Notamacropus eugenii: one gene and its partners. The protein of the gene in region 3 interacts with the protein of the main gene of each other region in a pairwise test. Links are inferred from orthologs where the notes say so. Each region holds a gene or a part of one and is shown on either strand. Other genes may lie near its edges.

Evidence for each region.
Region 1: the proteins of ZC3H12A (region 3) and AHSP interact in binary tests that used the Homo sapiens proteins (3 or more experiments, as listed by UniProt). The two-hybrid records come from large-scale screens. The link is inferred for Notamacropus eugenii from reciprocal best matches to the Homo sapiens genes ZC3H12A and AHSP.
Region 2: the proteins of ZC3H12A (region 3) and P4HA3 interact in binary tests that used the Homo sapiens proteins (3 or more experiments, as listed by UniProt). The two-hybrid records come from large-scale screens. The link is inferred for Notamacropus eugenii from reciprocal best matches to the Homo sapiens genes ZC3H12A and P4HA3.

What each region holds. Positions count from the first base shown.
Region 1 is NC_092874.1:319,499,350-319,507,967, forward strand, and holds AHSP (alpha-hemoglobin-stabilizing protein), read left to right. Parts: upstream 1-5,207; 5' UTR 5,208-5,315; intron 5,316-5,512; 5' UTR 5,513-5,520; coding exon 5,521-5,595; intron 5,596-5,787; coding exon 5,788-5,991; 3' UTR 5,992-6,149; downstream 6,150-8,618. UniProt on the Homo sapiens protein: Acts as a chaperone to prevent the harmful aggregation of alpha-hemoglobin during normal erythroid cell development. Specifically protects free alpha-hemoglobin from precipitation.
Region 2 is NC_092876.1:130,972,561-130,982,587, forward strand, and holds the start of P4HA3 (prolyl 4-hydroxylase subunit alpha-3), read left to right. Parts: upstream 1-5,395; 5' UTR 5,396-5,723; coding exon 5,724-5,956; intron 5,957-10,027. UniProt on the Homo sapiens protein: Catalyzes the post-translational formation of 4-hydroxyproline in -Xaa-Pro-Gly- sequences in collagens and other proteins.
Region 3 is NC_092876.1:81,820,629-81,831,385, forward strand, and holds the start of ZC3H12A (endoribonuclease ZC3H12A), read right to left. Parts: upstream 4,754-10,757; 5' UTR 4,538-4,753; intron 4,179-4,537; exon of another isoform or gene 3,873-4,178; intron 3,454-3,872; 5' UTR 3,411-3,453; coding exon 2,875-3,410; intron 1-2,874. UniProt on the Homo sapiens protein: Endoribonuclease involved in various biological functions such as cellular inflammatory response and immune homeostasis, glial differentiation of neuroprogenitor cells, cell death of cardiomyocytes, adipogenesis and angiogenesis.

The DNA of each region.
Region 1 (8,618 bases), on a different chromosome or scaffold from region 3:
ACTAGAAGTGAAATCTCTGGGTCAAAGGAAAGAGTATGGACATTTTAGTCACTTTATTTGCATAATTCCGAATTGTTTTCTAAGATGATTGAACTAAATCACAGCTCGATCAACAATGCACTAGTGTGAATATCAGGCCTGCACAATGTACAGGCCAAAGGCTTCTTGAAGCCTGCCAAAGCAGCCAGAAGGCAGGATGTTATGCAGACCTGTTTTACATAATCTATATTTTTCTTGGGCAATCCTTTGGCAACCACAAGCCGCTGCTGGCTGTAAGCAGCCCAAGTTGTGCAGGCCTGTTTACATCCTCTTCATTTATCCCAAACTGCCCAACATCCTTTGGAGGGCAGCGCTCTAGCCATAAGCAATCTGTGACGTTGTGCAGGCCTAATGTATATCTTCCCATAACCTATCCACCATGGACCATTCCTTTCTTTTGTCAACTTTGCCAACTTTTCAGATTTTGAAAACTCAGGATTGTTTTGATTTGCTTTTTTCTTATTTCTCTTAATGTTCTGGAGCATTCTTTCATATGGTTGTTAATATCTTGCTATTCTTTTGAGAACAGTTCATATCTACATATATATATGGACATGGTTTTGCATATATACATATATGTATGTGTGTGTATGTGCGTGTGTGTGTGTGTATCTTGGATACCCAACCCTCATCTGATAAATTTGATACAAAGATTTTACCCCAGTTGTTTGCTTCCGTTCTTATTCTAAGTCGTGGATTTTGTTTGTGCAGAATTTTTCAAATTTCACATAATAAAAATTATCTATTTTACCTTTTGTAATTTCCTCTATCCCTTGTTTAGCTAAACTAGGCCCAGTTTTAAGGAAAGTCCCTGTGATAGCACCAGGATTCCTTCACTTCAAAATGGTAGGAGTTGGTTTTCCCTAAAAGGCAACAAAACTGTTTCAGAAGTTCAAACAGACACCTGCTGGGTCATTGCAGGGATGGTTCCTGTGTGGTCTAGTAGAGTCAAGCTGAGTATCATAGGTTTACAGGACTTGTATGGAGTTAGATAAATGTATTAAAGCATCCAGATGGGGATTGCCCTTTGTCCCTTTTTAAGTGGCTGTAGTGGGGAGTTATTTGCACATGGTCCCATAAATGTTAATCTTCAGCACAGCTAGCACAGATGGGAATCTGCCAGGGAAAAGATGAAGTTCCTAAAGGAAATGGGTTTGATAGATTGGATTTATTCATGTTGCTTCCCTGACCCCCCCTCCGCTTGACCTGCCACACCCTATGACTAGCCCTCCTCTGGGAAAATTAGATTCTGACTTCTGGGTAAAGGCTCAGCAGAATGTATTCAGACTTTAGCTATTTGTCTCTAATCGTAGAATTACACAGGTGTGAGCTGATCAACTGAAATTTGAACAAGATATTGGGACAGCTATGATTTTGCAAATGCTGCCGTTAATGGGAATAGGCACTCTGAGAATGTAGGAAGGAGTCACAGAGCCCTGCTAGGTGGGCAGAGGGCAAGGACTCTCTGACTCTCTGACTCTCTCTCTCTCTCTCTCTCTCTCTCTCTCTCTCTCTCTCTCTTTCTCTCTCTCTCTCTCTCTCTCTCTCTCTGTCTTTCTCTCTCAGAGGGATCTTTGGGTGTGGTTCCTAAAATATGGGCCCTGGCCATCATGGTGCTTATAAGATTGTACAAAAAAATTCATCACCAGGACACTAAAAGCCTTTCAGCCACACCCAAGCCTAAACTCTCCTCTAAAGGTCCATTTGGGTCATTCAGGGAAGGCTACAGAGGACAAATCATGGAGGGAAAGGTATCATAGTCTCTTGGGAATAAGTATTTGTACAGGCTCTTTCATTATCCTCTATATATTCTATTGTAGGTATGGCTAAATTGAAACTGTTAGTTACCCAAACTCTCCCATTTAGTTAGCACCAACCAATTTCAAATCCTCAGAAGGGGTGAAAGGTATTTCTTCTCTAATGATGGAGATGAAGGAAGCTGGAGTACTTCATTATACAAATATCCCCTACAGCAATCCTGTCTCTTGAGGAAGACTGATAGCACCTGGCAGTTCATGGTGGACTGCACAGAGCTAAACCAAGTCATCATAACCACCAATACAGCTGATCCTGACCTCATCAATGTTGTAGATCAGGAAACCCAGGCAGCCTAGACCTAGAGTGAGTGAGGTGGGGTTATTGACTTCATTAGTGCTGGTTTCTCTGTTCCTGTGGCTGAGACTAGTCAGGAATAGTCTGTTTTGACCTGGGAAGGCACCCAGTATACCTTCATCATCCTTCCCCACACAGGCCTACCTGAAATCTTCCTCCTGCTGCCACATTAGGGTAGGCAGAGACTGTCCTTTCATGAAGGCATTAGTTTACACCACTACAATGATGACATAATGTTGACTGGGTGTTTCACTGGTAAATACACAGGTAACACCAATTAAGCCAGGTGTCAGATGACACAGTAGGGCTGATAGCAGGTATTCTGGCACAGGTTCACTCTTGATCCAGGCAGACAGGAAGACAGGAATGGAGTCATAATAAAGAGTTGAATAAGCTTACTTTGTTCCAGTTTACTCTTCTCAAAGGGAGTTTGCTGATAATGGGAGCACCATCTCCTATAGCATTCCCTAATCACCCTTCTCACAGGGGTTGGCAAGAAGGGGAGATGGCTTGCCATATGTTTTGATGGGATCAGTCGAGACAGGCACAGCATTCCAGCTTGTGCACTCCCCTAAATCCTCCAAGCCTCAGTAGGGGCCTGCTGAGGCAGGTACATGCATTCGTCTATGCATTACCCAAATCACAAATTCCCACTTACTGACCAGTGCCCACTTGCTTTATAGGGCAATGGACAAAGAAGGTATATTGCCAGCAACAGCCTCACAGATTAACTTTAGCAATATTGTCATTCAGTGCAAGCATAGTAAGTATCACATTATGTCATTCCCATCTCTCACTGCACAGTCAAAGTGGTAGAGATGTTTATAATTCATGAGCCTCAGAAATATTATCTAACACCTGTGAACTAGAGGCTGTTATGGCCATGGAGCCTGGGAACTAAACCCTAAAAAGGAATAACAAAAATCCACCTTACATACACACAAAAATTCACCTTACTTATTATACTGGACCAGATGACAACATGTTGACAAAGGCCCTAGATCAGTTGGTGGCTCATATGAAGGACATGGGGTGGAAATCAACCCTAAGAAAATCCTAGCTCCAGCCTACTCAGTCAAGATTTTGGGAATATGGTAGAAAAGAGTAAAGTGTAAAAAGATTGAGAAAATAGGAAGGAACCAGGTTGTAAAGAACTTCAAGTGACAGAGAACAAATTTGTTTTGTTCTGTGAAGTTTGGATTCAGTCAAAGGATCACCCTTGAGGACTAGAGGACATGTGACATTGAGGTCACAGGCTTCCCCAACCCTGCACTAGAGTTTATTAGTGGTAGGCATGTGTGTGACATTATCACATCTGTGCTTTAGAAAAATCACTTGGGTAGCTAAGTGGAAGAAAGATTGGAGCATGGAGAGACTTGAGGCAGGGAGGCCAGTTAGAAGGTATTGCAGTATTCCAGATGATTGGTGAACACCTGAACTTGGGTGGTAGCTTTGTGAATGGAAATAAGCTGTCATATATGAGAGATGTCACTGTAGAAGTCACAAGATTTGACAATAGATTGGATGCATAGGATAAGAGAGAGTATGGAGTTGAGGATGACACTGAGGTCAGTAACCTGACTAACAGAAAGGTTGGTGGTATTCCCTACAATAATAAGGGAGTTTGGAAGAAGGAGGGGTTTGAGGGAAGAAGGTAATGAATATTGTTTGGTATGTGTGGATTTTGAGATAATTATCCAGGATGAAATGCCAAAAAGGCAGTTAGTGATGCAGGACTGGAGCTCAGTAGAGAGACTAGAGCTGGATATATAGACCTAAGAATCATCTTCATAGAGATGATAATTGAATCCTGTGACCCTGCATCTCCAAATAGATTAATACTATAGGATTTTAGAGTAAGAAAGAACCTCAGAGAGCAGAGAACCTTTGAGGCCAGGGACTTAACAGCTCTTTGTTTCCCTGGGTCTAGTCCACTATCTTCCCCACAACAGATCTTCAATGTCTATTTGTTATCAAGGATAACAATATTTTGGCACCAAAATCTGTGTGATGGCCATCTCAGCATAAGGCAATTTACTGATGAGCAACAAGAATGTGCTTATAGCACATACAGATCCCAACCATAGTAGTACATTTATTGTAACCATCAAGAACTCTCTGCAGGAGGATACTACAGAAAGCCAATAGTTAAATGAGCAGAGTATTAATCACATGTAATTACTCATTTTTCCTTTCCATGATGAATGTGTCAGCATTATGCTTGACCACTGGTATTTCCTCTCTTGAATTATTAGTCTTGGTATTGGTGATGCATATTAAATAAAATGCTCTTGGCTCTGGGGAGAGAAATATTAATACCTGGGTATAATGTTGCCAGTTCTGCAGTGATCAAAGACATAAGAAGATGAGGATACAACTTGATCTCTCTCTATATCTTTCCCTCTCCCTTTGCCCCTGCCCCAAATCCTCACTTTGTCAATGTTGTACAGAAGAAAATGTTCTAGATTTAGAGTCTAAGGACTTGAGTTCAAATTCTTACAACCTGTCTGACCAAATAATGCCTCAGTTTCCTCAGCTGTAACACAAGAGGATTATTGGACTACACGACCACAGAGGTCTCTTATGTCTCCGAATTCAGAATCCTGTGATCCTATTTGTAGCTCAAAGCATTTCCTCATCAAAGCATTTCCTCATTCTTTTACTGTTTTCTTAACATAAACAGACTACAACAGGATTCCTGGAATACAGGGCAGATCCTCTAGAATCTACTCCAGAAGTTAGCAAGAGGCTAGAAGGAAAGTTGGGAACCAGGTCCTTGGAGAGATTACATAAGGGTCTGGGAAATAAACCCTTGAGCTTTGGAAAGTACAGATGCTCAACTCTTAGAGGGGAGTCATCATTGAAAGGAAGAAAGCAAAGATTATGGGGAAAATTACAGCTGAATTTGAGGAAGATGGTAGGGGGCTGCCTTAATTTCACCCAGTTGCCTTGTCTGCCCCATTGGGTTGTTTCTGTACAATCTTCTATCTCTCCTGGCTCAGGAAAGACCCACCCTTTTTCTCCTCCCTCTTTCTTCACTTATCATTATAGTTCAGGGGTTGAATTCAGACTGCCACCCCACTTTGGATGCCTCCTCCCTTCAAATTCTTTCTTTGCCCTTCCTATTTTTGCTCAGACACACAGACTGAACTGGAGAAAGCAAGGTGAGACACCCAGAATACAGCCAAAGCCTGAAGTACTAGTGGAGAGGCTACCCTTAGAGAGAAATAGACAGGAATTGATGAGAGGTGGAGGGCAATACATTTGTGGGATTTGAAGAAAAGACAAGGTAGTGGAGATGTTAGGGGTGGGGAGCAGAGGTCAAGGGGAAAAGTGACCTTAGCTTTCCCTCTTTCTTCAGGCAGGGAGATGGCTCTTCTCCAGTCAAATCAGGATGTCATTTCCTCAGCATTGCAGGAGTATAGGAAATTGCTGGATCAACAGGTGAGAGAGATCCTATCTTAAGGACCAAGGGATACAAGACAACTTGACTTTTGGAGGAAAAGCGGGGGTTTGATGGAAAAATTAAGGGATAGAAAATGTAGCTTCTGGGAGGTATGCAGTGACTGATGGGAAGGTTGAGTGCCTGGAGGTCAGGACATTGGAATAGTAACTTCATTTTCCCCTCCTTGCCAGGTTTTCACAGAACCTGTAATCTCTGAAGAAAACATGATCACCATCGTGGATGACTGGATAAAGTTCTACCTTTCATATTTCTCTAAAAAGATGATGGGGGATCAACAGGAACAGGAGAGAGCCATGCAAAAACTGCAAGAGGAGCTTCAGACTTCTTCCATCCCCTTTCTGGACAAGTACAGAGCCTTCCTAAAAGCCCTTTGAGTTCCCATGTCTCCCATCCCTGTTCTAGGCTTTCATTTCTAGTATATCCCCTAAGCTGAGCACCTCTGCTAATATTTTCCTCTGGCAACCTTCTGTATCTTGATTTCCCCTGACCCTAAAATTTATACCTCAATAAATATACACATGGGAACATCTGACATTAGCATTCTTCTTTCAACAAGTCTGTCCCCTAGATCTATGCATAGATCTATGGATGGGATTTAGGAGGGAAGGGCAGTACAAAGATTAGTCTCATTCGTATGTCTTCTGGGAAGTCTAATGGACTTCCATGGGTTCATTTTTCCCAGAATGAGACAATGTCTTCAGTACTTTCAGCCCTTCTGTCTTTTCTTATTACTCCCCTCACCTAGGTCTCCCCAGGACCATGCCTCCATCCTTTCCCCTTTTCTTCTGTTGGATTTCCTGGTTCACATCTTGGATTTTTCTTCTTCTGGCATCTACCTAGGTCAGAGTCAGCCATATTCTGTGATCATAACAGCAGGCATCAGGCAGACAGGAAATGGAAGACCAAGGAGGAATGAGGGTGATCAGAAGGGAGAGAGAAAGAAAAGGAGAGGGAAGATGTCTAGGGTGGGTAGGTGGGAATAGGAGAAGAGGTGGTAGTTTGTACATCCAGGAAGAGTCCCACTCCAGCTGGCCTTGAACTGCCTCAGTTAGCTTATCTTCTTTACAATGGAACTAAGAGTTCATTTTGTAACTGGTGACATTCCACTCAGGCTGAGCAAAGACAGGCTCTTTTCTGCCAATGCCCATGCTAAGCCCAGGAGGTCCTGCTCCCTCAACACTTTTTACCTGGATGCCCCTATTCATAGATCATAGAATGTCAGAGCTGTAAGGAGGCTTAGAGATTATCTGTTCCCATTTACCCCACCCTTTTAAGGATAAGGAAATTGAATCCCAGAGAGAGGGACTGACTTGCTCAGAAATATAATTGGGCATAGGGGCAATGATTAACAAACAGGAAGGAATGTTGTTTCCCCTAAAAGACATTTGTGGCTGCCAGTGAAAGGGCTTCCCAAAGGGTTCTTATCGGATGGTCTTAGAAGCCTAGGGTGCCTGGTAATGCGTGTTACCCCCTATTTCAGCCTCGGTCTTTTTTTTTTAATCTGAAACAGACATATGGAATCTAGCAGTTACCATGTTAAATTACAGATACTTTAAAGACTATGTACCATAGTGGAAAGCTGAGGTGTTGAGAGAACTGAGCTCCAGTCCAGAATCTGCCACTAGACAGCAGTGTGCCCTTGCGCAAGTCACTGTGTCCCTCTACCCACCTCCTCAACTCACCCCCAAATTCTGGTTGTCAGAATGATTTTGCATATGAACAGACCTGGTTCTTTTGTTCTTCTGCTGAAAATTCTCCAGTAATATTACAGATTAAGGAATATTCAAATTCATTTGCTTGACCTCTTGTATCCTGACTTCACTTTTACCTTTCCATCCTTATTTAACCCTATTTTTCTTCAGATATTCCATATTCCAATGACAATGGAGTATTCTCTGCCCCTTGGGCTGAAGGTACTTCTCTGCTTTGGTCTGAGTGTTTCCTTTGTTTGCATAGAGTGGGATTGCCCTCCCTCTACTCCTTGATGTATTGAATGTCTACCATCCCTCTAAGTCCAAAATGCTGCTGTCCTTGGGATCCAGGTCTATGAAGACCTTCCTTCTTGGATCAAAGGTGAATTTCTTGAGAGCAGACACTGGTCTCTAGGTGTGTTAGTGGGAGAGTTGTGTCCTTTAAGGGAAAAGCTTTATAACTACTGTGTTTGATATGGCCTCTTGAGAAAATGCAAAGAATTGAGTCTACTGGCTAATTAAGGGGCTAGGGCCAAAGTCCAGAAGAGGATCATTTGGCATTTAGACATTGTGGAAGGAGGTCCAAGAGACTGGAGTAGCACGTAAAAGAGGAGGAAAAAATTGGTTTAGATGGGAAATGACCAAGAAGGAACTTAATAATGGAAATGAAAAAGAAGGGGTGGTGTTACACAGGAAGAAGTGGGGAATCTTATTAGTCATTGTAGGGTCCCCTAAGATCAGAGGGTGTCATGTTCCACACAACCACCAGATGGTGAAGCAAGACCACGGCTGAACTCTCAGACAGCCACTAGAAAGGGGGGGGATGGTATGAAACTTCATAGAAATTTAGGACATTAGTGCTAACAGGAAATTTAAAGGTCATGTAATACAACTTTCTCATTTTATAAGGTGAGAGTACTGAGGTCATTAACTTGCCCAAGATCATACACCCAATTAGTAACAGAGACTTTGATTGTGTTCTCTGTAAAATGAATTCTTGGGGATAAAATAGGAGAGACAATGTAGTATATAATATGATGAGCGCTGGGTTTGGAGCCAGAAGACTAAGCTTTAATCATAGCCCTGTCCAGGCCTCAATTTCCTCGTATGTAAAATGGATGCATTGTGCTAAGTGATTTCGAAAGTCCCTTCCAGATCCTAGGGTCTTGTGGAATGCACAAATAAAGTAATGCAAAATAGACCATGATAAGAGCAAGGGAGAGATCTATACAAAGTGCTGTAAGACAACTTTGGCACAGCAAAGCCCTATAGCTAGGGTGATGGTGAAGGTATCAATGAAGAGGAGGTAG
Region 2 (10,027 bases), about 49 Mb from region 3:
TGTCCTGGCCATTCCGACCCAATGATTTACTTTCTTCCTCCCCCTCCCCAACCCTATGCTTGCCCAAAGAAGGTCAAAGAAATGACACGGGCACTGTTCCCATTCCCTAAAATATAGACTACATCATGTTCCGAAGAACATAATAACATAAGAACATAATGACTGTCAAAGCCTATTCTAGTTTTTTTCCCCACTATTCAGACCTTCAATACTTAAAGGATTCATGAATTTGTCAGTATAACTCCCTTCACTGATAAAAAGCTCTAGTGTCAAATTCACGTAAAAATGGGGCCACTAATGTGTATATAAGGATCCCAGTGGGTAGCATATGGACTTAGTTTTCAAATGTGATATTATGTTCTATTGTATTTTTCTATTTTGTTAAATATTTCCCTGTTACATTTCAGTCTGTTCCTCTGCTGGTTTTCATGAGCTGCTTTTACTGAAAAAAAGACATTACCCTTTCTGATGATAAAATAACACTGCCGGGGCTATTTTTGAGACCACAATCCACTCAAAGACTTTCCAGATTGATAGTGCCTGCCATTGTTTATGCTCCATTGGCATACCTTTGGAGAGCCCAGGGTCACCTCCATACCACTGCAGAAAGGTTCTTCCAGAGGGGTTCCCTTCCAGTAGCCAACTACTGCTCTGGATCCCATGCTCCATTCAGGGGCCTGAAGGGAATCCATCTAGCCATTTTGCCTTTGCTAACTTTGGTTGGGGGTGGGGTGCGGGTCCCTATGACCTGGAGTGCTCTTAAGACATATGCCTATTATATTTCTGGGACCTAGGGCTAAGTGGGGGAAGGGGAAAGCAAATTTAGGTTTAATTGAAATGGAAATTTGCTCCCAGTAATGGAATGAGCTGGGTTGGGGAGGGTATTTTACAGTGGTCAAGCACAAGCTGATTAGGGGGATTTTTGCATTGAAAACACAAAGGAGTCTAAAGTAATGCTGAGGGTGGGAACCACTGTGTATGTAGATCATTTTAGCTGGAGTGAAATTTTGCAAATTGGGAAGTAGAGAAGGGGCAGTAAAAGGTAAACTTAATTACTGCAATTGATCAGACTTCCTAGATTCCTGCTGCCACCTGGTGGACACAACCACCTATCAATGTCTCAGGCTCAAGATCAGAGGTAGAAAGCATCTTTTAGGAGACAAAGCATTAGCAACTTTAGTATCTCTCTCTCTGTCTGTCGCTCTTTCTTTCTCTGTCTCAGTCTATCTCTGTCTCTGCTCTCTGTGTCTCTGCCTCTGTGTCTTTGTCTCTATGTCTCTGTCTCTCCCCCCCACCCCCCACTCCTCGCCTCTCCATTTTTTAAGTGGAAGAAACAGACCCAGAGAGGGAAAATAATTTGTGAAAGGTCAGGTAGCAGGCCTGTCAAAGACTCCAAGTGTTACGACTTCTCTGGTTCCTTTCAATTTCATCTATCATCCACTGACAAATATATGAGTACTGTATACAATGTTACGGTCACTGAAAACAAATGAAAGGGAAGGATTTCAATCATTTTAAAGAGACCTCCCCAAATGAGGGTAAATTGGTCCCTATCCCTGGGCCTCAGTTTTCCTCTTTTGTTTTTTAAGGTTGAAAGAGATTCATTCAGCATGTGTGCAGAACTTTCTTGTACTCAGCACTGGAGGAAGATGAAGGCAGAGTTGGTTTTTCATCTTTGTCTCTTTCCTGCCTATCACAGGGCTTTGCACATAGTAGACACTGTGTAGCTATTGAGTTAAATTAAAATTGAGGCATTTGTCTTTTCTAAGCCTACATTCCTCATCTGTCCAAATGGGAAATATTTATACTACCTGCCTCTCAGGATCATGCTAGAAGATTTACAAAGTTCCAGAGGGAAGTTCAGAAGACAGGGAGGACAACTCTGAAACTAACATAAATTTACTACATGTGTTCTTTTAAAAATGAAGCTACATGTAATAGAGAATTGTGGCTTCATATACAACCCTTTTTTCTTTTTTATAAATATATGGAAATACTAAAGTTTTATATTTGTCAAGTACAAAAACCAAAAGGAAGTTCAAATTTAAAAATTAACCAAGTTCTTTGGAAATATTATCATCTTTCTTGATAGAATTTAAGAACTTAGGGCAGGAACTACATCTGTTCATCTTATTCTCCCCACTCCCCCCCACCCCAGGCCAAGGTCAGGGCTCTCTACGCAATGTTTCTCAACAAAGGTTTTTTGAATAAATGAAGCACTTTATTACATGGTATCTTTTGGTGTCCTCTGAGTTTGTGGGCAAGTATACCCTGAGACTATGCACAGGTCCCTTTTCCTCTGTAGGTCTGAGTTTCTGTAAAAATTAGGAACTACACAGTGTTAGTGGCAAAACCCAGATGCCCAGGTTTCCGATCTAGGAATGATAACAATGAATAATAACTTCACATCATAAACCATAAAGTGCTATGGAACTGAGGTGGGGGGAGGTCTTACATCATTTAATTTGATCTTTATTTTATCTAAATTTTATCTTTATTTGATCTAAATATTTTTTAAGTTCCTACTATGTGCTAAACACCGTGCTAAGATCTGGGGATACAAAGAAAAAAGTGAAAGTGAAAAAAATTATTGCCTTCAGGGGGCTTCCATTCTACTAGTAGGATTTACCACATCCTCATCTAAGTAAGGTGTGTGTGTGTGTGTGTGTGTGTGTGTGTGTGTGTGTGTGTGTGTGTGTGTGTGTGAGAGAGAGAGAGAGAGAGAGAGATTTGGGGAGATTACTAGGAAAGACCCCTTGTTTAAAGAGGTAGTTCCTGAGCTGAGTCTTAAAGAGAGCTAGTGAGGTATAGTAAAAGTATTGTTCCCATTTTATAAATGAATAAATTGAGGCTCAGGCAAAGTAACTTGCCCAAAGTCAAATAAATAGCTAGTATCAGCTGGGATGGGAACCCAGGGCTTATTCCAAATTCAGTGCTCTTTCCACTATACTCCCTGCCTCTTAGTACTTTTTAGGAGACCAGCTTCATGTCTCCACAGCAGAAGTGGAAGTGCTTAATGGCAGACAAAAGACTTTTATGTCTTGTCTTTTCCCCTACTCAGCACAATATTAACCACAAGGCACAGGCTCAGTAAATAGAAAATTAAATTGCCTCACCTAGAAATAGGTTCCAGGTATCAGTCTTCACTGTTAAACAAAAGACAAATGGTGCAATCTTCAGTGAAACATGGTAGGGCAGTTCTGATACAATACTAGAAAAGTGTCACCATGGGAAACTGAGGAAATAAGAGAAAATTGTCAAGAAGGCCATACATTCCAAATCTCCACCAGGGGGCACTCTTGGCATTAGAAACATAGAACCAGAGTCTTGTCAACCTAAACACTACCCTCTCCAAGAACTTTCTTCCCCACCTATTCCCTGCAAATTTGGTTTATTTTTCTCCAAAATAAGGGCTAGGAGTGCTATCTTCTGGGCAGTAAGATGGCACAGTGGAGAGAGTGCTAGGCCTGGAGTCAGGAAGACTCCTTTTTGTGAGTTCAAATCTGGCCTGTGACACTGGGCAAGTCACTTAACCCTGTTTGCCTCAGTTTCCTCATCTGCAAAATGAACTGGAGAAGAAAGTGGCAAAGCACTCCATTATCTTTGCCAAGAAAATCCTAGGCGGGGTCGGAAAGTTAGAGATGACTGAATCACTTTTCCCCCTGCTGGTCTTTTTGTTTAGAAATGGCAACATGGAACTGTCAAAAGAGTTCTGGATGTGGAATCAGAAGACCTGGGTTGGCATCCAGGTCCTACCACTTGTTCAACATTGAGCAAGTTACTTCTCTCCAGGCATTTTTCTCATCTGTAAAATAACAAGGCTGGATTAGTTGCTTCCTCCAGTTAAATCTCAAGGTTCCTATGACCTTCCCTGACAAACAGGAGTATAAGGTAGATAAGATGAAGTTACTTTAGCGTGGCTCTTGAGTTCTCACTGGAGAAGAAAGAGGAAAAGAAAAAAAAAGTCGGGCAAAATCCTGACTCTAGCAAAGAAGGTATTTTCTAACTAGAAGCTTTCCTCTGAGGAAGTACTTAGGAAAGAAGCCAGAGAATGGCAAGTGCCTTAGGCCAGAAGTCCTAGCCCTGACTATGCTTCTGATTCTTCTGTGTGACTTTAAGAAGATTCCTTCACATCTGCCTCAGTTTCCACCTCTGTAAAAATGAAGGGTTTGGATTTGATGATCTCTAAGGGTCTTTCTAGCTCTGACATTCCATGGTCCTTCACTGTCCTCTCCAGTGAAGACTGAAAAACACTAAATAGGTTAGTTACTAGGACAGGCCGAGAACACCACCAAGAAAGTTCTTTTCGTCCTGTACCTAGGACTTTTTTTTCCTGTAGATGCCAGTCCTCTCTAAGGGAGAAGCTTACTACCAGACAATATACAGGATCACTGTCAGGACTGGAGGGGATCTTGCTGTCATACAGACCCATGCAGACTTGAAGCTGGAAGGGACCTTAGAGGTTATGTAATCCAATCCTCCTATGCCAAAGATGAGGAAACTGGGGCTCAGAATGCCCAAAGTTTCAAAGGTAGTTTGACTCCAAGTTTAACTTTGGCTCTAAACCTAATATTCTTTTCTACTCTCATTTAGATATAATTTCAAGATTTACAGAGTTTACTTTCTTTATAACCTTTTTCAGAAGGCAGGTACTCCAAGTATAACTTGTCCCCATTTTATAGGTAAGGACAGAGAAGCTCCAGATTGTGTGACTGGCTCATGGGCCCGCAGCTAGTCAATGTTAGAACTGGGATTAGAGCCCAGGTCTCTTTCTGACTCCAAATCTAGTGCCTTGCACCACATTGCCTATCATCTGGCATTAGAGAGAGAAAAGGCTGGAATGACTCCTTAAAGAGGATTTAGGATGTTCAGAACTGTAAGGGGCCTCGATGTCAGGCCTGGAAGGAACCTGAAGAGATCGTTTATTCCAACCCCCTTATTTTACCCAGGAGGAAAATGAAGCCGGGGTGGAGGAAAGGATTTGTGCAGGGCTGGACAAAGAGCTGGCTGCAGAGCTGGGATCAGAATTCGGATCTCCTGTCTCCCAGCCAAGGCTCCCTCTGCACTCTGCAATTTCAGAGTTGAGGTTTAAGGAGCAATGGGAAAGGAAGAAAGCCTAATGGGAAAAGGGGGAAGGGGATATAGCCAGGTGGGAGGGTAAAACCAAAGTGATGGGAACTCAAGAGAAAAGAAGGGTGTGGGGTAAAGAGAAGAAAGACAAGAGAAAGAGTTGAAGAACGATAAGGGGGAAAGAGCTGAGGGAAGAGTGGTGTAGGGGAGAGGACGAGAGGGAAAACAGGAAGATAAATGTATATATAAGAAGTGGGGGAGGAAACAGGCAGAAGGGGAAGGGGGGCTGGCGGGGAAGGGGCAGAGCTATATGGTAAGAGGAAGGGAAGGGGGAAGGGAACTAAGGAAGAAAGGAAGAAAGAGAGCAGAGAAAGGGAGAAAGCAGACCGCGAGATGGGGAGGATGAATGTATGAAGTGGTGGAGGTGAAAAAGCAGAGGAAAGAACAAGGGAAAGTGTGAAAGGAGAGGCAGGGGATGTAGAGAGGCTGTAGAAGAGGGAAGGAGGGAGTGGAGCAGAGAAAGGGGAGGAGAGGAGAGGGGAAAGAAAGAGGCAAGGAGCAGAGGAGGAGAGATGTGAGGAGGGAGCCCGGAGAGTGCAGGGGAGCAGAGGGAGGAAAGAGAGCGCTGGGAGGGCAGTGCAGCCCCTGGCGGCATGGGCCCCCCGGCGGCGCTGGTGCTGCTGGTGCTACCGGTGCTGCCCGCCCTGGAGCTGGGGGCTGGGGTTCGGGCCACGGAGGCGGGGGGCGGCCCGCCCCGGGGCCGCGGGGAGGACAAGTTCTCGGCGCTGCAGAGTGTGGAGCGGGCTCTGGGTCCCGAGCGGGAGCTGCTGCGGCTGCTGGAAGGCTACGTGCGGGGTGAGGAGGCCCGTCTGCGGGACCTGCGCAGGTAGGAGCTGCCGGCTGGGGTGAGTGTGTGTGTGTGAGTGTGAGTGTGTGTGTGAGAGTGTGTGTGCGTGTGAGTGTGCATGTGTGTGCGCGCGCGTGTGCGTGTGTGTGTGTGTGTGTGCGCCTGTGTGTGAAAGCGCACGGGATCCTGACCCACCGATCCTGTGGCTACTTAGGACACTCCGTGTGTGACACTGTGTATTTGTGTGAGAGGGAACACTTTGGACACTAACTCACAGCCCCTGTGGCTGCTTAGGACACTCCCAGTGTGTGATACCGACTGAGTGTATCAAATGAGACTGTGTACAGCATTTTGCCACCCTTAAAACACTATAGAAAAACCAACTGTTACTATTCTTGAGCTAGGGGTGTGTATTTTGAGACCCAGGATGTGCCAAGGAACTCTGTGTCACTCCTGAGATACAGCATGTGATATTGTAGAAAGCCTGGTGCTGCGAGGTAGCATGTGTAACATTGTCTCAGTAAAGTGGACTGGGCTCCTGTGTGAGACACAGGACCCTGAGACACTATGGTTTCACACTGTATGAAAGAGAACAAATAGATGAAGGAGAGAAACCCAGATGATGGGCTGTGAGCTCCTGCAGGACTGAGACTCTTAGCCAGCTCTGTATAAAGGAGAGGCAGTGTGGCGTGGTAGATAGAGAACAAGACAGTCAGAAAGACCTGACTTCAAATCCCTCAGGGATTTGCCTGGGTGACCCTGGGTGAATCACTTAACCCATTAGTGCCCCAGGAAATTTTCTAAAATTAAGACACAAAGCAGTTACAGATCTGATCTGCATTGGTATAGTGAATTTCCTTACTGGGAGATCCCTACACTGATGAAATCACAAGTCTAAACCAAAGCCTGAATTAAGACCATGTATTAATTATGTTTGTGTCATCCCTGTGTGCTGGGCATGGTGTATGTATGTGTGAAGGATGGCGTGTTAATATTTACTCTGCATGCCAGTGATACTGAGTATGTGACATTGTATGGATCACACTGAATGAGTCGATGTTGCCCTGTGTGAATGTATAGCACTGTGGGTTATGCAGACTGAGTGGGGCCAGAAAAATCTTAAATGACACAGTGTGATGCTGTAGGGGCAGGGCTGTGACCTTGACACCAGTCCCCAATGACTACTAAGCTCTGTGACTTGGAATGATTGTGTTTTACACCATGGCTGAGAGAGACAGGCACAGACAGACACAGACTGAGACTGTGAGACACATGGGAGGAAGAGTGAGATTCTGTTTGTGATTTGGTGAACAGCTGAACATTGGTATCCAACCAAATATGACTGCACACAAGAAGAATGATGCATTTTTTTGGTCAGTTAGCTAATGTGTATGTGTGAGACATAGTTTATCTACATGTATAAAATATGCATGAGTATGTGCCTTAAAAATAAATGATAATGGTAGTTTTGATGATGATGTAATGGTGGGGGAAATTAAAAAAATTTTTTTCTTCCATATTCCCACAGGCTTTACTTTTATCAATTTCTTCAAAGTAGAATATTTTTCCAGTATTTTGTGGATCCAAGTACAGAAAGAGTCAGAAAACATACTTTAATTCCCAAAGTTAGAGCAGTGGAAAGGAATACTAAGCCTGATCCCATAAGACTAATACTAAACGTGTACTAATACTAAACTAGTCCCACCTCTACCATTGTGTGACCTTGGGCAAGTAAATTACTGCCTCCCTGGGTCTCAGTTTCCCTATCTGTAAAAGGAAGAGGTGGGAATAAATGGTGTCTTAGGTCCCTCCCATCTTGAAATTCTATGGTTAAATGAGATAATGTACGTTAAGCAATCTGCAAACCTTAAAGCACTACATACGTGTGAGTTTATCTTCTGTCTAGTTTGGACATCCTGCATTTTAAGGTTCATCCAATTAGATTGTGAGCACCTGGAGGGAAGGGAGTGTCTTTTGCCTCTTTTTGTATCACTTGCACTTAGAATAATTCCTGGCACATAGTAGGCTCTTAATAAGTGTTTATTGATTGATTAATTGAGCCCAACTCTAATAATCAACATGCTAAGTTCCCTCCCCTACCCCACCCCTATTCTGACATCCTGTGATTCTATGGAGAATCAAAGCTCCTGCATAAATAGGCTATTTTTATCCCAAGTATAGCCTGACCTGCTTGTTCCACACACAGCCTGGCCCACTTCTGCTGTTGCCCAGCTACAAGGTCCCATTGCCACCAGCATCAACTTATACAAACTTTTATTAAGCACCTGCCTTTTGTAAGGCACTCTGTTGGGTGCTGTTGGAGAGAGAGACACACACACAGACAGACAAAGACAGAGACAGAGACACAGACACAGAGAGACAGAGACAGGGAGAGGAATGACATAGTTCCTGCCTTTAAGGATCAGTGTGATGTCTGGGAAAGAGTACTGGATCTGGAATCAGAAGACCTGGGTTCAGACTCTGACCCAGCCCCTTTTGACTTGTCTGACGTTGGGCAAACCATTTAACCATTGTGGCCTTCGCTTCTTCATCTGTAAAAAGAGGGAGTTGGAATAGATGATCCCCAGGGTGACTCTCAACTCTGAATCTCTTTTCTTATGATACAAGTAGGTAGCTCAGATATGGGCACCCAGTAGGAACAGACTGGAGCCAGTTCATACTAGCTTTTGAGAGCACCATTGTTAAATTTTCAGCGTGAGCATTTGCAGTTTGTTGTTCAGTCCTTTCAGTTGTATTCAGCTCTATGATCCCATTTAGGGTTTTCTTGGCAAAGACACTGGAGTGGCTGGCCATTTCCTTCTCTAGCTCGTTTTACAGGTAAAGAACTGGGGCAAACAGGGCTAAATGGCTTGCCCAGAGTTACACAGCTGGATTTGAACTTATGAAGATGAAGCTTCCTGATTCTAAGCCCAGTTCTCTATCCATTACACCACCCGGTTTTACTTTGGAAATTGGCAAATCAGGACTCAGCAGAGTCTAGACCAGGGGTGGGGAAAAATGTTAATATTATATTCTACTGTTAAACTTATAAGTTTCTGTTTTCCTCTCTCCCCAGGAGCTAATTATTAAACATTTACCAGCACATCCATGGACATACATAACTACAGTACAAATAAGAGTTTAGTAAGTAGTAGCACAAAATACACAGAAAGTACATATTTGCTTCTAAATCCCCTAGATTGTAAACTCCTTGATAGCAGGACCTGCCATATCTATTCTTGAGTCTGTTAGTCAACAAACATTTGTTAAGTGCTGACTATCATGCCAGACACTGCTAAGCAAACAGACAGTGCTTATAAGAGGTCCACACTTGCTGCTTTCACCAGCTCATCACCCACTCACAGAATCATATACCGGCTGAAAGGGAAGGAACCTCAGAGGCCAGTTCTAGTCCACCCCAAACATGAAAAAGAATCACCAGTGTACTTTAGAAGTGGGTCTCCAGTTGTCACTACTTCCTGAGGCAGCCCACCCCACTTTTGTATAGCTCCAGTCATTGGGAAGATTTTCCTTAAATCTAACTGGTATCTGTCTCTTAGCAACTTGAACTCATTATTCGTGGCTCTGGTTCTGGAGTCAAACAATGAGCCTATTCCCTCTTTCCTGTAGATGTCACACCCTAAATCTTTTTTCTAGGCTAAACATCCTCAGTTGTTTCATTCAGTCCCCAGATGACATGGTCTTGAGGACCCTCATCCATACTGGTTAACCTCTGCACATGCTCCAGTTTGCAGTATCCTTCCTAGAAAGGAACTCTCAGCCTGAACACAAGACTCTAGCTGAAGGACCCAGCAGGATTGTCCTGTATGCTGTCCCTGCTCCTCTATGCTGGGTATCTCAATGCCATCTAAGACTGTGTCAGGGTTTTGGACTGCCATATTTTCCTTTTGACTCATATGGAGCTTTCAGTACACTAAAACCCCCCCAACACTTGACTTGCTGTCTAGCCATACCTCTCTATCTCGTACTTAACAAATTTGTGTTCAGCCAAATGTGATGTTTTATACTTGGGTATCAGAGACTGGATCCAAAAAGATGTTGGCAGGCTAAAAGATTGGGCTGAATTTAATAAATTAAAACTAAATATGG
Region 3 (10,757 bases):
CCAGCCAGCAGGGGACTGTGGTCCCAGCCAGGCCTGACCTCTCTCCTCTCCCACTCCTCATGGCTCCCAGGGCTGGGTTGGGCCTTTCCTGCCAGTTCCAGGCTGGCCGGCTGGATTGCCTCCCCCTCATTCTCCCTCCCCTACACACTGTTTTCCCAGCTCAAACTACTATACACATGCCAAGAAGCGAAGATAGCGTCTGTTACCCACCCCCAAACTGACTGTATACAAATCTGTCTTATATACCTGTGCTCTCCAGCCCCCATCCACATACATGACCCTGAGGCACCTCAATACACACCAATAAACAATATACCCAGCCCCCTTTATACTATCCTGACACATCACCCCAAAATCAGTTTCACCACAGACTCTTTATCCAGTCTAAGAATATTCAAATAAAAGGATCATGGATTTGGAGGTGGGAGGGCCTTTGGGGGCCAACTAATCAATGCAGCATTATTAAGCTCCTCCTCAGTGCCAGGCACCGTGCTGGGTGCTGAGGATACAACCCTTGCTCTTGAGGACTGAATAAAGAAGTTTAAACCCCTCATTTTACAGATAAGGAAATGGAGATGCAGAGAGGGCCAGAAATTGCCCAATATCACACAGGGGAGTGGGCATCTGAGCCCAGGCCCTCCCACTCCAAATCTTAATCCAACCCAACATCCCCATATAATACATACCCTACTTTTAACTAGTTACTATGTTAGGATGCAAAAACAAATTAAAAAAAAAAATCCTTAACCTGGAGACACATTCTACATAGATCCAAATACCATACAAACCAGTATTCAGACCCTATACAACACAACCTCATACCACACAGAGACACAGATGGATCCCAAACTCATACCACACCAGAAAGATTCTATACATTCACCCCCTACCCCTATTCACCAACAACTATCAAGAGCTTAAGGGGGCTGGTGGTAACAGGTAAGCTGAACAAGTAACAGGGTCAGGAGCCCCTCAGAGTTAGGAATAACCACTAGTCACTAAACTGTGACTTGCCAGGCTTTCTCTCAGAAACTCTTCCCCTGACCTCCAGGTAGCCCCAAACCCAGCTTGTCTTAGGTCCAAGTACAGAACTGGACTTGACCTTGGCTGTGTCAGGGATTGTTAAGAGTGGGGGAAGCTGCCAGAGATTAGAAGTCCCCAGAATCCAAGGCCACCCTAGCTATTCCCCTCTTCTTTCAGTCCAGGTCAACACAGATCTCACTGGGTAAGAGCAGAAAGAAAGGAAACTCAGAACCCCAAATCTCAGACACCTGCTGGATAACCTTGTCCAAATTCACAACCCTGAATCTATGATCCTATGATCCTTCCCTCTCTGACTGTTTTCCCATAGGTAAAGTAAGGAAAGCATTGCACTAACTCCCCAAATCAGGAGGGTTTCATTCTAAAAACCCTCAAGAAAATTCCTCCTGTCTTCAGTTACAAAAAATTATTGTTAAACTACATAGCAACCCACTCAGATTTACAATGGGTCAGCTGAAAGGTTGTAGTTCATTGGCTTTCACTTTACTGAGAAGAAAACTGAGATCCTGACATGGGAAGGAAACTGGCCAAGGTCATAGGAAGTCAGTGGCAGAACCAATATTAGAATCCAGGTCTCCTGACTCCTAGTCTCAGGCTCTTTGTCTAGTATATAGGTTGTTTCCAAACCACTCATTTCCTTTCCCCTACAGTTGACCCCTGACCTTTTCCCTCTCCAGACACCAGGGCTTTTTGTTCCAGCTAGCTAAGAGGAAAGGCTTAGCCTCTAGTCTGACCCGTTTTCCAGGACCTCCCAGTAACAGTTCCAGGACCACTTTACTCCAAACCCTCTAGCTGGGCCAGAACAGAAATGTTGGGAACTCATTAGACCTTGCTATTTCCCCACATCCTCGCTTGAAAATGGACCGCCCTGACCCCTCCCCAGCAAGCCACCCCATTGCCTTCTCCCTCACTCAGGGGAGTTCCTGCCTGAATCCAAGGCTCAAGAGGCGCTGTCCCCAGCCAGCTCCAGGAAGCACCTTCCCTATGGCTCAGGGCTCTGGCAGGGGCAGTCCCCTGAGTCAGAGGGGTAGGTGAGTCACTGGTTCACCTGAGGTCTAAGCTCACTCACCCCTGGGTCCACCCACTCACTCCAAAGGCCAGGAATTAACTACATTTAGTCCAGGTCCTTGCAGACAAAATAGAGTTGGGGGCAACCCTTCCTGCAGTTGAAGAGGAGAGGATATCTTAGCATCCAGAGTTTTAATGTTTTCAAAGACCTTACGTATAGTCTAACAAGCCTTCAAAGCAAGAAAATTCAGTCTTATAGAGCTTAAATGACTTTTCTGTGGCCACATTAGCTAGTAAATGTAAAAAGTTGCAATTTCAACCCAAGTCTTCCCAACTCCAAGTCTGGAACTCAATCCCTTGTCCATATTTCCTCAGAGAGATAATGGAGTTGGCATGTCCTCACTTGGAACACAAGAGCTCCTATGGGTTCCATATTCTTCTGGACCTAATACCATTTTAGAGATGAGGAAAACTGAGGCCAGAAGAGATGCAAACCTATTCCTCCCTAATGATTTTCACCAGTGAAATGTTGGTGACTTATCCTCCTATAAGAAACGTAACATTCTAGATGTTAGATTTGTGCCTTGGTGATGGAAGAACTGTATACCCATCACTACCAAAAATGTGAGGTGCAGTTAAAGAATGTTTGTTTAACAGACTACAAGCAAAAGCCCTGCCATGTTACCCTTGTGTTTGTAACCAGGATAACCATAAAAACCTCTAATTTGACTACAGGACTGCCAGCAAGGGTCATGACAAATATGCTCATGACCACCATTAAAACAGAGGAAGAGACGAAATGATACCCAGAGTGTGCAAACAGACCTCATGGCTACGTTGCTCCCATCGATGACCACTGGCCTCAGGTTACTGGCTTCCTTGTCCTCAGGGGGTAGAGAGCAAGGGGAGGGTGCCTTTGGGGTTCCTCCACCTCGGGGCACCAGTGGGGGCTCTGTGGGCCCATCCACTGGGGCTTCCCGCTCTGCGGCTGACCCGTGTTTCACCAGCTCACCCAGGACAGTGTTGGTGTCAGCCTGAAGTCCCAGCTTGTGTAGGACCCCATGGATCTCCCCAGATGAGTAGCCTAGTTTCCGGAAAAAGTCCACTTTCATCTGTAGCTCTGTATCATCCAACCCTTCTGGCTGGCCTGTTTCTGGGGTCACCATCACAGTTCTGTTGTGTGGAGAGCCAGGTCGGCTGGGATGGGGGCTTCCCCGCCGTCTGGGAAGGGGTCCCAGGCTGTTGGGCCCCAGAGAGGCATTCTCCTGGACAGCTGAAAGACTCATGGCAGGACTGGTTTGATGGAAAGGGCCCTCACTTCGAGGAGTAAGGACCTCGGGGGACCTCTGGTCCATGTTCATCCTTTTCTTCCTGAAGGCTCAAGCTCCCAGTTCCTTCCAGCTTCTGTGAACCAACCAAGCAGATGCTCACTTAATCAGGGGGGTTAGGACAGAAGAGAGGAGTGGCATTCACTTAGGATTCCTAGGTAGACAAACTAAAGTTGTCCTGAAGTTGGGAGGCCTGGGTTCAAATCTCAGTTCTGTCACTGACTTTTGGTGCAACTTGGGCCAATCACTTCCTAGCTCTGGGCCCACATCTCTAAAAGAAGGAACTAGATGATTTTTTTTCTTAGTTATTCTGTGAAACCAAAACCTCCCTACTCTTGGCCACCATATTGCTAGGAAATTGAGGCCAGAAATGCAAGGTCAAGAAAAGACTCACAAAACCCTGCCTCTCTAACAGTTTGCCCTCCCCAGGGGGCCTCTGAGGCTAAGACCTCTTTGAAATTCTCCCCCTCCCCATTCCGCACCCCCCACCCCTTCAAGTCTCTTCTGATTGGGGGAAGGGAGAGCTCACAGACCACCCCTCCCACCGGTCCAGGGCAGCTGCTTCCAGTTGTACGTCTCCCTCCCCACCCCCTAACTAAGAGACGGGCGAGGGAGGGACCAGATAACCTTGGCAGACCGGGAAGTGGGGGGGGGGTCAAGAAGCCGGACCAAACTGGGGGGCGAATTCCCCCCCCCCAGCCAAGGTCCCGATCTCCGCGTGGCGGGGCAGGGGGGCAGGGGGGGCCACGGACCTGCTCCTTAGATCCGGGCGCCAGACAACGGTCCCAAGGCATTGCCAAGGTCAGGGGGCTCGGGCGCCCGGGACGGGGGACTTTCCCAAAGTGCTGAAGGGGCACAAAAGTACGGGGGAAACTTTGGGGGGAGGTGAGAGCGGGGGAGAGCGAGGAAGAGGGGCCAGGGCGGTCCGGTCCGGGCTACCCCCGCCCGGGGGCTGGGCCCCCTCCCACCCCGCCCCAGGCCCCGAGGCTCCGGCCTGACGGTCTCGGGCTTGCCTCCGGGCCCAGTCCGGGATGGACGGCAGCGGCCCCGCCGCCCCTCCGCGACTCCGGCCCTACTTTCGGGACAACGCGGGCCACGTCGGGGGCCCGAGCCCCGGCCGCCCCGCTGCCCCCGCCCCGCCCGCGCCGGGGCCGTCCTACCCGGCCGTGCGCTGTGCCCAGCAGTGTCTCCATGGGGGTCCGACTCCGGGGCAGGGCTCGTCCCCGGGGCTTTCTACCGCGGGGGGCGGGCAGGTCCCGACAGGTGGCGGCGGCCTCGAAGACGCGGAAAGTCGGAGCGGCGGCGGCGGGGCCCTTTAGGAGGAGGAGGAGAGGGAGGAGGCGGCGGGGGGCCGGGCCGGGCAGAGGTGGGGAGGCGGAAGGCGGAGCGGCCGCAGCCACCGCCCCTTCCTGCTCCTCCCCCCGCTCCGGCCGGCCCGTCTTCCCGGGCCCGCCTCCCGCCTCCCCGAGCCGGCCCGCGGCCCCTCTCCCCGGAGCCAGCCCCAGGGCGGCGCGGGGACTCTCCAGTCCTGGCCGGCCCGGGACTAGCTCCTCCGGGCCGGGGGGCGCGGCGTCCACGTGGGTTTGGGGCCGAGTGGGGAAAGGGAGGGGGCCCAGGGGCAGCGGCCTCTGCCCGCGCCTGGCCTCCCTGCCACGTCCATTGCTTGGGGCCCGGGGAGGTGGGGCGGAAGGGCCAGGCTGACAGGCTGGAGAGAGAGCGCAGAGGACCCGGGGCCAGGGCTTCACCCCTCCGGGCCTCAGGAGCCTGGCGTGCGAAGCGAGGGGACCGGGTCACACCCTCTCTACCCTCGTTCTTGCTCCGAGTTTGTGCTGAGGAGGTGCGGGCACACGTGGGCACCAGGTACCCGCAGGTGCAGAGAGGCGCGCGCGCACAGACAGACACAGACAGACACACACACAGACACAGACAGACACAGACACACAGGCACACACACACACACAGACAGACAGACAGACACACACACACAGACGCAGACAGACACAGACAGACACAGACACACAGACACAGACAGACACAGACACAGACAGACACACAGACAGACACAGACACACAGACACAGACGGACACAGACAGACACAGACACACAGGCACACACACACACACAGACACAGACACAGACACACACACACAGACACACACACAGACAGACACACAGACACACACACAGACACAGACAGACACACACACAGACACACACAGACACACACACACAGACAGACAGACACACACACAGACACACAGGCACACACACAGGTACAGAGACACACAGACACACACACAGACACACACACAGACACAGACACACACACAGACACACACACAGACACACACACACACAGACACACACACAGACACACACAGGCACACACACACACACACACAGACACACACAGACACACACACACACACACACACAGGCACACACACAGACACAGACAGACACAGACACAGACACACACACACACAGACACACACAGACACAGACAGACACACACACAGACACAGACAGACACACACACAGACACAGACACACACAGACACAGACACAGACACAGACACACACAGACACAGACACACAGACACACACACACAGACACAGACACACACACAGACACAGACACACACAGACAGACAGACACACACACGGACACACAGGCACACACACAGGTACACAGACACACACAGACACACACACAGACACACACACACAGACAGACACAGACACACACACAGACACACACACACTCTCCCCATGTGGGCCACATCAGGCTGTTGTGATTATGGAAAAAGCTGGGTCTACCTATTTTTGACATTTCCTAAGTATACGAAGCCAGACACCTGACTTCCTGGAGTCTCCTCTGTCAAAAGGAGGGTCATCATAGTAGCACCTACCTCACAGGATTGTTAGGGACGTTAGTCAAATGAGATAATCTGCATAATATCTAGGCTATCTTTTCTGAGTCTAAAAGTTCCACAGCAATGTCTATTATTATATACACGTGTATGTATGTATGTATGTATATATACATGTGTATCTATGTATATACACACATATACATACACCCTCACTGGCCATCCACAGTACAGGTGACCTGAGTGAGCTGTGACTCGCTGTCAGAGCTATTGCCTGTTCAGAGACATTTATTTCCTCAGACCCCATACAGTTAAATTCAGTCCATTCCCACAAGCATCTGCTCTGCATAAAGCACGGTGTAATACAGACAGAAACATTGATTCCTGCTTTGAAAATGCCAACAATCTCAGGGGCAGGAGAGACCATCCCGTCGTTCCTCTCTATTGAGTAGGCTTTAGGTATGGGCCTTCTCAGGAGTAATGGGGATGGACTCATCTCTCAGCATCCATGTAATTACAGCCTACTGTGTGTGGAGGCCCTGGATTCCACCTGTTGGGGAGACCTAGTCCTTGTCTCCCCAGAGAATTCAAAGCCTTTTAGGGGGAGAAAGTCAGATAATTAAAGAAACATAGAGTTAACCAATCAACCAGTCAACAAACCATTTTTAAGCATTTACTGTATTCTAGGCACTGGGAATACAATGCAAAAGTGAAAAATTCTCTGCCTTTAAGGAGTTCGTAAATAAATATATATTGGGTATTTACAAGGTAAACACACAGGGATTGGGATGGGGAGGAAGCTAACAATATCGTGATATACTAAGTGGACACAGAAAGGCACACACTATAAATATTAGGGAAGGTCACTGGCGGAAGAGCTGACTTTGTGTTGGAGAGATGTTATGAAAGGCTTCCCAGAAGAGCTAAGATTAGAGATGGGGAGGATTTGGAAGACTGGAGAGGAATCAGAAAAAGGAAATCCAGAGGAACTCAAGAGTGCAATGCTTTTGAAAATATAGCAGCCCCTCTGGGTTCCTTCTTTCCAAATTCCACTTGCACTGGTAGTAAATTCTTCATCTTTAGGGGTCTGCACAGGGAAGCTGAATGCTGACTTATTGGGTGATGCTACTGAGGGAAATTCCTTTTCAGGTATGGGTTGGACCTCTGAGGTCCATCAAACTTCTGTGAGAAGCTACTGACTCACTAAGGACTCTCTTCTCCAGGTAAATCAGCCAATAAGTATTTATTAAATATTTGCAGTGTTCTAGGAATTCTGCTATGCGCTGGGGATAAAAAGAAAGAAAAAAGATAATCCCTTCCTTGGGGGAGCCCACAGTCTAATGAAGGTCCCTGAAGATCCTAGTATCCTGGTCCCTCCATTATGAACTCCTGAGGGACTGTGATATGTTAGGTGATACTGGGAATTTACCAGTTCTGCTCTAGGTGGGAGTCTGACTCTCTGCCTGTTTCTTTGCTAAGGGTAGGGAAAATCAAATTCCATTCTGGAGAACCATGCATTGCTCTGGGGAACCCCTGGCTCACATGCAAATGGATTTTGCAACCAGGAAGGCTGGAGCCCAGTTCCAAGTATATCCTGTAGTCAAATGATGCCCTCCAGGTGGCCACCCCCTCCCTCCCTCCCTGCTGCTTCTCACTAACTGTTGGATATCCTTTTCCGGGTGCTGGGTGGAGTCTCCAGAGCTTCAGGAGTGGGAAAACACCTGGGTGAGCAGCTGAGGGGGAGGCCCCAGAAAGCCCTTTTGCCGCTGGCTGGTAGCTCTGGGATTTGGGGTGTAGGCTGATATAAAGGAAGAGTCCCTAGAACCCAGCCTTTCTGGCCCCTTTAGTTTTCTCCCCCACCCCCAGTTTTGAAGTCTGTACTACCTTCTCTCTCCCATCTTTTCCGTTTGGTCAACTCCCTCCTTTTACATATGAGGAACCTCAGACCCAGAAAGATTAAACAATCCGTTCAAGGCCAAAGAATTAATATCAGACTTGAGATGTGAACCAATGCCCAGTTCTAGGCCCAGCTGTCCCAGGAGACCTTCCCTGACCACTGAGCCACCTAACCCATCTCTGTTATCAGCATTCACCTCATAGAATAGTGGATGTCAGCACTGGATGGAATTTTCTAGACTAGAAACCATCTGATGTCATCCTTTCTTTTTATATATGGATCATAGAAGAAAAGTGACTTTCTCTCATATATTATCTCAGCCTAGGGCTCCTGACTCCCAGGTGTGAGATCTTCTCGCTGGATGCTTGATACTGAATCTCAGGACCTGGAGCATTGCAATGCATTCTGTTCTAACACTATGTTATAGGAGGCTGTGGATAAGCTGAAGGACAACTAGGATGGGAAAGAACCTTGATCCTGGTGCAGGCTCCTAAACCCTCCAGTTCTGGAGCCATGAACCAGTCAGTTCTGCCATTTTCCTTTCCGTATCTCAACCCACTCTCTTACGGCCCTGTAACTTTTCTGACCAAAATGCTTTTTCCTTGGTTACCATCCCCTATGTATGCATTCTCTTTCTATTAAAATGTAAGTTTAGTGAAGGTAGGAGTGGTATTTATTTTTGTATTTGTATCCCTAGAGCTATGCACAGTGCTTGGCACATAGTAAGAACTTAATAAAATGTTCTTTTTTTCCTCTCACCCTTCCTTCCTTCCTTCCTTCCTTCCTTCCTTCCTTCCTTCCTTCCTTCCTTCCTTCCTTCCTCCCTCCCTTCCTTCCTCCTTCTCCTTCTTTCCTTCCTTTCTCCTTTTTTTCCTTCCTTCTTTCCTTCCTCCCTTGTCTCTTTCTCTCTGTCTTCAAATACTGGGAGGTAGTATAATATAGGGGACTTGGGTTCACATCCCAACTCTGATACTCTGATCTTTGACAAATCACTTAATCTCCCTGGGCCTCAGTTTCCTTTTCTGTAAAATGTAGGGGTTTATTAGATTGAAAAAGACTGAAATCCTTTTCATCTCTAGGTCTATAGTCATAGATTTAGAGTTGGAAAGGACCTTAGAAGAAGAGGGATTTATCTTGCTCTGCTTGGCCCCAGAAGGCATAACTAAGACCTGTGGGTAGATGTTACAAATAAATTTACTTCCAGGAAAACTTTCCCCACAAAAAGCACTATCCTTAAATGGACTGGGCAACCCTGGAGAGGTAGTTGGTTTCCCCTCTTTGATTATGGCTGAATGACTGCTTATCAGGCAAACTGTGCTGGAATTTCCTTTTTGTTTGGAGATTAGTCTACATTCCTCTAACATGTCTTCCAACTCTTTATGTGATTCTTAGAGGCAGAACCTTTGCCTGGGAAGAAGACCAGGATAGTCTCCCCATCCTATCCCATCCCCTTTAGCTCCATTCAGTGTCTTTTTTCCTGTAGATCAGCCCTTCCAGTCAAGGGAAGGGTTCTGACAATGGAATGACTCATCTTAAGTTAGGAGGAACTGAGGTAGGGTCAGGAGGGGAGGAATTTTTTAGTATACAGCACTTAGGAAGCCTGCCACAGAGTCACAGAATTTGAGAGTTGAAGGGACCTCATGAGGCACATGGCCATCTGGTCCAACCCATACAGGAAAGGAATCCTCGCTATGATGTATCTGAAAAGAGATCCTGCAGTCTTTCCTTGAAGACCTCAGAGGAGGGGCAATCCACTGGTCAGTAAACATTTATGAAGTGCCTACTATGTGCCAGAACCTATGCTAAACACTGCGGGTACAAAAAAGGCAAAAGACCGTCCCTGTCCTTGAATGTAGCCTCCCAATGCAATCTATTTCACTTTTAAACAACTATCATTGTTAGGAAGTCATCCAGCCTCTTTGTAACTTCTCTTCATTGTTCCTAGTGAAGGCCCAGAGAGTGGTCAGTGCATGAGATATGGGGGGAAGAACCTAGAGCCAGAGTGGCTGAGGTAAGAAAGACCCCCAAATCTGAGACCTTTTCAGTTTGAGAAGATGAGGCCTGAGGAAGGAGGAAGATGTTTGTGAAGGGAATGAGGGGGAGATTTGTTAAAAAATGTTGGGAATTAGTTCATGGGGTAGGGAGGAGGGGGACACCCTTGATGTTTACAGAGGTGGCTATGGGGTACAAAGAGACGAGGCTGGGTGTCAGGAGAATGTGAGCTAGTGTCTAGATTGTCACCTTGGGTGGTGTTTTGGATCTCTACCTCAACATGCACTTAGGAAGGCCTGACTTCAAATCTTTCTCAGATGCCTTCTAACTAAGGGTCCCTGGGCAACTCACTCATCCTGTTAAAACCTCAGGTTTCTCATCTCTAAAATGAAGGGGTTAGATTTGATGGCCTCTAAAATCCTTTGTAGTTTTAAATTTATAATCCTATGTCCTTCTTTTTCTGGGCCTCAGTTTTTTTTATATATAAATTGAGGGTTGGATGAGATAGCTTCTAAGCTCCCTGTCATCTGTGACAGCCTATATTCTTTAAAAAATTTTTTTAATTAGTATAAATCATCTTCTCCTATCCCTCCCCATTAAGTGAGAATGAAAGAATA